Linked DNA regions of Oryzias latipes. The protein of the gene in region 2 purifies or fractionates together with the protein of the main gene of each other region. This does not show direct contact. Links are inferred from orthologs where the notes say so. Each region holds a gene or a part of one and is shown on either strand. Other genes may lie near its edges.

Evidence for each region. The genes of interacting proteins can lie anywhere in the genome.
Region 1: the proteins of ripk2 (region 2) and map3k7 purify together in Homo sapiens (affinity purification with western blotting; 4 studies listed by BioGRID). This does not show direct contact. The link is inferred for Oryzias latipes from reciprocal best matches to the Homo sapiens genes RIPK2 and MAP3K7.

Annotation. Positions count from the first base shown.
Region 1 is NC_019882.2:20,589,033-20,593,187, forward strand, and holds the start of map3k7 (mitogen-activated protein kinase kinase kinase 7), read right to left. Parts: upstream 2,801-4,155; 5' UTR 2,684-2,800; exon of another isoform or gene 2,514-2,683; intron 2,129-2,513; 5' UTR 2,102-2,128; coding exon 2,009-2,101; intron 1,933-2,008; coding exon 1,822-1,932; intron 1,749-1,821; coding exon 1,683-1,748; intron 1,594-1,682; coding exon 1,548-1,593; intron 1-1,547. UniProt on the Homo sapiens protein: Serine/threonine kinase which acts as an essential component of the MAP kinase signal transduction pathway. Plays an important role in the cascades of cellular responses evoked by changes in the environment.
Region 2 is NC_019875.2:13,779,146-13,783,235, reverse strand, and holds the start of ripk2 (receptor-interacting serine/threonine-protein kinase 2), read right to left. Parts: upstream 2,801-4,090; 5' UTR 2,416-2,800; coding exon 2,216-2,415; intron 819-2,215; coding exon 665-818; intron 266-664; coding exon 110-265; intron 1-109.

The DNA.
Region 1 (4,155 bases), on a different chromosome or scaffold from region 2:
GCTTCATACATCTGAGCTGTACTGCCCTTGTAATGCAGCCACAAGAGTATAATGGATGGAGTCATCTGCAAAAAAAAACCCACTTGAGTCTTAAAGTCCCACCCTGATCATCTTTTGATCTATTTTCAAAGTGTTCCCAGTGGACTTTTAATTATGTTAAGCTGTTTTATAAGCCAAACACCATAATCGTTTATAGGACATGGATTCTGCAGAGTAGCAGAAATGTATAAGAAGTTCACGTCTGAGTTGTGGGCGGGAATGTTGGCGTGGAGCAAACCCCCCCGCAATTCCTCTCCTAGTTGCTGAGGACTCTCTGTTTACATGCCCTCACGCTAGCTTACAGCCCCCCCACACCACCAAACTATCCAGCCGTAAAGTTTAGATCCAGATTCCAGCTCAGACGAGGAAAAAAAAAACGTATAGTATAGTACAGTGTTTTTCAACCAGTGTGCCGCGGCACACTAGTGTGCCGTGGGAGATGGTCAAGTGTGCCGTGAGAAATTGCACTCATTAACTGATCTAAAAGCAATTACCATCTCCAGGAAATCAGCTATTTGTTCATCCAAACAGGCCCTGATAAAACACTGAGAAGTTAAGAATATGAAATATCATAAAATTATTTTTTCTTTGTGTTTATATGATTCTATTAAAGACATTTTGATAAGAATAACAGGATACCGCGATTTAGCTGCAGCTATAACTGTGTAAGGAAAATTCCCGCCCCTTTAACTGTCTCCACCAATCATTCTTGAAGGCTTAATCACATGTCATCAGTCTGACCAATCAGAAGTGGTTAAAGTATTCACTTCCTTGTTTCGATTTAGCGCAGAAAAGTCTCTCTGTTCTTACAAAAATACCAGCTAAAGCTCGTCTTTAGCGGCGTAGCTTTCCACAGAATCTGGTATCAGACTGGAACAAGTGAACAAAACCATGAAGCTCAAAGACGCTGGTCTTTCTGCGGTCGGCGGATTACGGGCACTACATCTCCCATGATGCAGTAAAGTGACTGTCTTAGCGCACAATGAGTCTCTCCTCTTAACGTCTTAAAACAACGAACACACATCAAACAGTTTTTGAATCTTTTCACTTAATTTTTAATACATCTTTTAGAAAAAACAGCTGCAGCTTCCAGCGTTTTCTGCAACAGTTATCACAAAAATGCATGTGAGATTGCAGAGCGGCTGTAGATCAATACAGACTGAGTTTTTCTTTTTTTTTTATTTATCTATTTTTTTGGATGCTGGTGTGCTGCGGGATTTTTGTCAAGGTTAAAGTGTGCCGTGGCTCAAAAAAGGTTGAAAAACACTGGTATAGTACTCATAATATCTTTTACAACAGAAATAAGATGTTTTTCAAACAGCATTTTTTCGTCTGCTCCTGATTTTAAACGATTTGAATAAAGAATTACTGAGAAATGTAATTTTAGCCTTAATTTTGTTAATATATATGTCCTCCATCATCAGTAAAATGTTACAAAAATGCCATCTTAAACACACCAAAGACACAATTTTCATCTGAGTGAATTTTAAAAGAAAATCTGAGCTCACCATTGTACAGAGATCCTCCTTCAGCATATTCCATCACCAGGCAGACCTGAAGAGACAGACAGAAACACATTTCAGAATTAGCCCCAAACTTGACTTTCTATTGGTTTTAACCTGGCAAAATGACTGTAACCTTACTGGATTACTGCAGGAGCCATATAACTTGACAATATTGGGGTGGTTCACGCGGGAAAGCTGTCGGAGCTGAAGCCAAACGATAAACGTGACACAGAATTACACCAAACTGGATTTTTGTCTTTAGACCAAGCAGAAATACCTCAACGATGAAGGCTTTCCTCTCGGATTCGCTCTCAATGGTCTTGATGGCAACGTCGTTGCCTTTCCACTTGGCTTTGCAGACCACCCCAAACGCTCCTCTGCCAACCACCTACAGGAGTGGAGCTGTCAGCGTTCAGCAGCAAAGTGACGGCAACACAAACAGACACACTGACGGTGGCACCAACCTCTTCCACCTCAATGTCCTCATAGTTAATTTCTTCAAACGGATATCCGGGTGGCGTTTCCAGCATTTCGGAGGGTGGTAATGTTAGAGACATTACTAGCTAAGGTTAGCTAGTAAATTACTATGGAAAAAAGAGCCATTTCAATCAAAACACATAAACACTCTGCAAAATAATCACAAATAATGAGATATAAGCACACTGACGTTGCTATTTTAAACTAAAGGACTATAATTAACATTCAATATTATTTGCTAAAAGTTCTGAAAAAATACGTTGCTCGTGAACTTTTTTTTTTTTTTTTTTAGCCATTACCCACCACAGCTAACATTAGCCGCACAACAATGTATGTACTAAAAGCTCGTAAAGCTCCAACAGCTAACTTCCGAAAAGTGAAGCTGCATGACTTGCACGGTAACAGCGAACCGCTTTCACAATGACCATCCCAAAGCTGGGAGTAAAGCCAGCACTTTTCTCAGCTTTCTATAAGAGCCAACGGCTAGGTTACCCGCCAGGCCTAGATGCTAACTCGTTAGCTTGAAGGATCCGAGCGCTCGTCGTTGATGCGTCGGCCGGGCCGGCTCTCTGGATATCCGGACACTTCCACTATTCATGCGCAGAGACAAGAGGACCATCATCCATGTTTAGGAAGAGTCCCTCGCTGTGTCTACAACTTACAGGCATATCTTCCTCCAGTCCTCCAGCTGGTTTGTTGTTTTTCTTAACAGAAGCGTTATAGCTTCATCAGGAAGTATGTGCACACCTCTATACTATCCCCGGAACATGGCTGGCGTAGTTGAGTTCCGACCCCACAACAACAACAACAACAACAACAACAACAACTAGCTTTGTTCAAAGATAATTTGGTTTCTGTTCCATCAGCTACCTTTTATTGGGCTTATTTTACTTCTAACATTGAATGGAAAAAAGTCTGGTCTTTACCACTAAAGTACTTCTTAACAAATAAAGTCAAAGAAATCTCTTTTAAACTCCTACACAGATTTTATCCAGCAAAATATTATTTAACTAAATTTAAGGATGACATAAACACCAACTGTACTTTTTGCCAGAAACAGCCTGGGGGGTATTCCAGAAAGCAGGTTATGCTAGCTCCCACGGTAAGTTTGAGGCTAAGGAAGTTGATAACCTCAGCTTTCGGTTCCAGAAATGGAGGTATGTTTCAGGGTATGTCAAGTTGCCATAGCAACTCATGCTCTGAACATAACCTGGTATGGAGCAGGTTCAGTTGAATTAGTTTGTTTTCAGAGAGGTGAAGCAGCATGGCGTGTCCATTTGAAGTTGATTTAGTGGATGAAGAAGCTCAAATAATACTTTTTACACCGTGAGAGGGTGATAAACCCACTTATACCATGGTCCGGTTGAATACTCGATTCTGATTGGCTGCTTCGCGTCGGACGGTTCAGGCTTCCACGCCGTGTGTTAAAAAGTAATAACCGCACACTTCGTCGGCCATTAACCCTTACATATGTATGTTGGAAAAATAAACTTTTTTACTTTGATCTAACTTAATTGTTTGCTATACTTAAGATAAATCTTTTTTTTTTTTGTTAAGTCAGCTTAAAAATAACACGTAGTTATCAGACAGTTGTTTTACTTTCATTCAAATTAATTCAATTAAGTAGGTGTAACTTTAGGGCTGCACGGTGGCGCAGTGGTTAGCGCTCTTGCCTCACAGCAAGAAGGCCTCCAGTTCAAGTCCCAGCTGGGGGACCTGAAAGAGAACATCAATGGGGGACCTTTCTGTGTGGAGTTTGCATGTTCTCCTCGTGCATGTGTGGGTTCTCTCCGGGTTCTCCAGCTTCCTCCCACTGTCCAAAAACATGCTTCATAGGTTAATTGGTTAATCTAAAATGTCCCTAGGTGTGAGAGTGACTGGGTGTGTGATTGAGGACATTCTACCCTGCAACAGACTGGCGAACTGTCCAGGGTGTCCCCTGCCTTCACCCACAAGTGGCCAGGATAGGCTCCAGCAGCCACATGACCCCAAAGGGATAAAACGGAACAGAAAATGAATGAATGAAAAAAGATGTAACTTTGGTGCTGCTGTTAGATTGGCACCACAAGGGATTGTGGGATACCATTCCCTTTGCCTGTCTGGACAGATTTGGGTTTAAGTGTGGGTTTTTGAC
Region 2 (4,090 bases):
TAAATTGAAGATGTACAGGTATCTATATTCTGATGCCTTGGTATTTTTAACTCTTATCACTGCTGAGTTCAAATTGTTAGGATCCCAGAGAGAAGTTCATCATACACACCTTAACGTGAAATTCTCCATCCAGAAGTATGTTCTGCGTCTTTAGATCGTGGTGCAGGAGAGGTGGGGTCATGTTGTGGAGGAAGTTGACCCCCAGGGCGATCTCGTACAAAATTCTCAGCCGGAGGGGCCAGCCAAGAACCGGATACGTCTCTTTCTGTACGCAGACACCAGAAAAAAAAAATTAAAACCACAAATCGTGGCGATAAAGCAGTGACACCGAGGATGTGAACATGTGCCGTGTTTCATCAAGCGCCATAAATAATGAGGTGGGAAATTTACTACTATTTCAAAAAGAGGGAATTTCCCCTTAAAACCCACACATGGGTAACACCATTTCACTTTCACTTTCTGACACAAAAAGGAAGCTGCTACTCGTATTCATGAAAAGTTCACGCAGCAATGCCTGAAAACAAGACCCATAAGGCTGAGCTGAAAGACTGACATGTAACCCACTTGGAGAGGGTCACAACTACAAACAAAAAGGAAGAAAATGATTTATAAAGTTTGATCAAATATAAAACTCTTCCACCAATATAACATAAATGCGTGTGACCTCATGAAGAAGCAGGTCCAGAGAGCCATTGCTCATGAACTCGGTGATGATGCAGAAGAACTCGGGTTCGTTGCAGATGCCAAAGATCTGGATGATGTAGTTGAACCTGGCTTTGTGAAGCACCTCCGCCTCCTTCAGCAGACACTTCCTCTCTCTGGAACACAGGAGATGTTTGTTTGCAGCAGCAGGTAGAGGATGCTGAGCATAGTAAACAAATCAAAGCAGTGACTTTAACTTGGTTTGAACAGCAGCAGGCATTGCAGCTCCACATGTACAGATTGGAAAAAGTTTGTCAGGAGCGAAGATAAGAGATGTGAACTGGAAGGAGCTTTGGGACCTCACAACCACATTTTTATCTGGACATTCTTTTTTTCGTTAACAGGATGATTAAACTCCCAGGTTTCATTTAAAATAAAAGTTTATAAGTCATAGTTATGATTCTCTGCCATTGTTCATGGCATTTGTTCAAACATTTTTTCCTAATTGTTCTTCTTTTAATTACATTTTGGTTGAACACAAACAGAAACTATTCAGATCTACAGAACAATCCAACAAACCCTCATGCATTAAAGTCCATCCAACACTCACTGCTTTGGTTTTGTTGCCGCTGGCCACAAGCTAGACTACTAAAAAGGTGATGAGGAATGTTGTTGGCGTTTGAAATGACACGAATGTCAAACATTTACTGTGACCACATGATGCACTCGCCCCTGGATGTGAAGGGAGTGAGGTGGTTAAGGAAACATAAAGGCTGCAGAGCCTTTTAGAACATCTGCAAGTGGACGCATCAGAATGGAGCAGAATGCTGACTGTAGCACCTATGTCTAGCTTTTTCCCAACTGGATGTTTTCATTTGCTCCTTATTCACAATGATTTGAAAAGAAACGTAATTTTGAGCTTGATTTGTCCTCCATCAAAAGAAAAAATGCAACAAAAACAAGTTAAAAACCCAAGTGGAGTTTTCAGTGGAGTTTAAGACATCTTGTTCCTTGTACTGATGAACAGGACTTGACTGCTACAGAGAGAAATAACTCCCAGTTTGTTTTAGACAAAACGTACAACATCTATGCAAAAGCTGGGAACTGTACAGAGACTCCTTAACACTTTTCTTACTTTTGTTAGGACTCAAACACCCTGTTTCTGATAAAAACAACTGTGTGGAGGGTTGTGCACGGTGTATGGTTAGAAAAATGTGGAAAATGAAACAAGCCAAGGCCCACCAATCTGAGTGCCAATAAGTAAAAACTGGTCAATTCTCCTTTTCTTTCTTTTGTTAACACAAATGAAAGAAAGAAAACACAGACTTAAGATAAAAATAATAATAAGACACAGATTTAAGATAAAAAATAATAATAAAGAGAGTTATCCGACATATATATTAGGAAATAATACCAATAATCTGAGCCTCGATCGCACAATCCCAAAAATAGTTCGATTATTATCGTTCTTCTGATTTAGTGATTACACACATTATGGAAAAAAGTACACGTTTGATTAACGCCCTTTCCAAACGAAAGCAAGGCCTAGGCTGTCACATGTGCGCACGGATACCTTTCTCCCACCGAGTCGAGCTTCAGGCACTTGATGGCCACTGTGGTCCGCCAGTCGGAGTGCTGCGCCTTGAAGACCGTGCCGAAGCCGCCCTTGCTCAGGTAGTACAGGTCGGTCAGCTTCTGGTAGGGGATGACCGCCAGAGTGCTGGTCAGGCTGCCGATATTCACGTAGCCCGTGTCGCCCTCCATGGCTGCCATTTACGGGAAGTGACTCTGCGTACGCGCTTAGTTCGTCAACCTCGGAGATCAGAATCGACTTCTTAATTTCAACCAACGAGAACCAGCCCTGCCATCATGATTTGGCGTGTCGCCACGCGCTTAGCAATTTAGCTAGTGTTAACACAGCTGCTTTATGAACGGGGAGAAAATGGAAGCTAACACGATCAAATCCTCTCTGCAGATGTTCGTTTACGTGTGGTCATTTTTCGACGTGTATTTGACCACAACAGGCTGCCTGGAAAATACACAAAAACGGCACACAGAGCTCCGCCGTTATTTAAGGCAGGTTTGTTATTGTCAGTGACGGCATACTTCCGCGTCTGCAAGATGCGTTCAGGAACCCACGGTCTTTTTTTTTTTACTTTACGGTTCATAAAAATACTTTGGAAAAATTAACGTAGAGTTAAATGCAATATTATAATATTTTACATCAGTTAGAGCCATCAAATTTGAGAAATTTAAGTTAATTAATGCCTTGACAAAGAATTAAAACAATAGCTTTTTCCTTGTTTGTTTTTTCTTCTTGTTTTTTTTGGACGGAATTTCCCAAACTTGGGACTTTCCTGAAGAGATGAACTTACATGCTTCAACTTAGAATGTCGTTCATTTCACAGAAGACAAAAAATAAAAAAAACATCACTAAATGTATCTAAACAGATGAACTAATCAACAAAAAGTTTGCTTTAAATCAGTAGTATTTACAAAGGAGCTAACTAACTGTAACTTTAACTGTAAGGCAAAAATACCTAAAACAAAACAACCTTTTGCTTGTAGTAAATCATGAGAAAGGTTTTCTTATGCTGACTTCCCTGAAGTAAAGAGTAGCTTTCGTTAAATTTATTTTATTATGTATACTTGAGTATGCAAATAACTATAGACTATTTAGTGTAGGAAGTGTATCTGAATAAATAATACTTCAGACTAAATTGGAATATTTTAAGTTTACAGTATAAAAGTGAACTTCAAGTACTCTGCCTCACTTTTAGTACTAAACCCTTTGTACACCTAAAAACTACCTTTTTCCTAAGCATCTGCTTATTGTATTGAACATTTAAAAGGAAAGAATGTTTACATTAGAGTTATAATCAGATGTACTTTCTAGTGAAAAAGTGTTAAAAAATAATAAAAATCCATACTTTTCCAGGTGGTAAGGTTCTTGAATTGCATGTTAGAGTAATGTTATGGCACACAATTAGGTTTTTGTTTAAACTTGAATCAACTTGTGTATTTATATGGTGAATAATAAAAACAGCAAGTTCCTCCTGTCTTGACTAGGTGGCTACAAAAAACGTGAGGAAGCAGGGATTAAACGATAAGTGCTGCTTAACTTGACTTCTCTTTAATTTCACACAGTGTGTCTTTGTTTTGATCCAATCGGTGGCATTTTAAAAATACAGAGCCTGGGTAGTTAAGTCAACTGACAGGGCATCAAAATTTCTCCCTATGACATCCCCAAAATTATCTTTGGATGAAGGAATAAGGGGAAAAACGTATTTATGCAGACAACTGGCAATGTCCATCAAAAGGTTTTAAACAGGTCTGCTTTCCTTCCAAAATGTAAATGAAAAAGAAACAATTAAAATGTATCGAAAATCCAAAAATGTCTTATTACTTTTTGTTTTTTATGGGCACATTCTGAGCAACTTTGGTCACA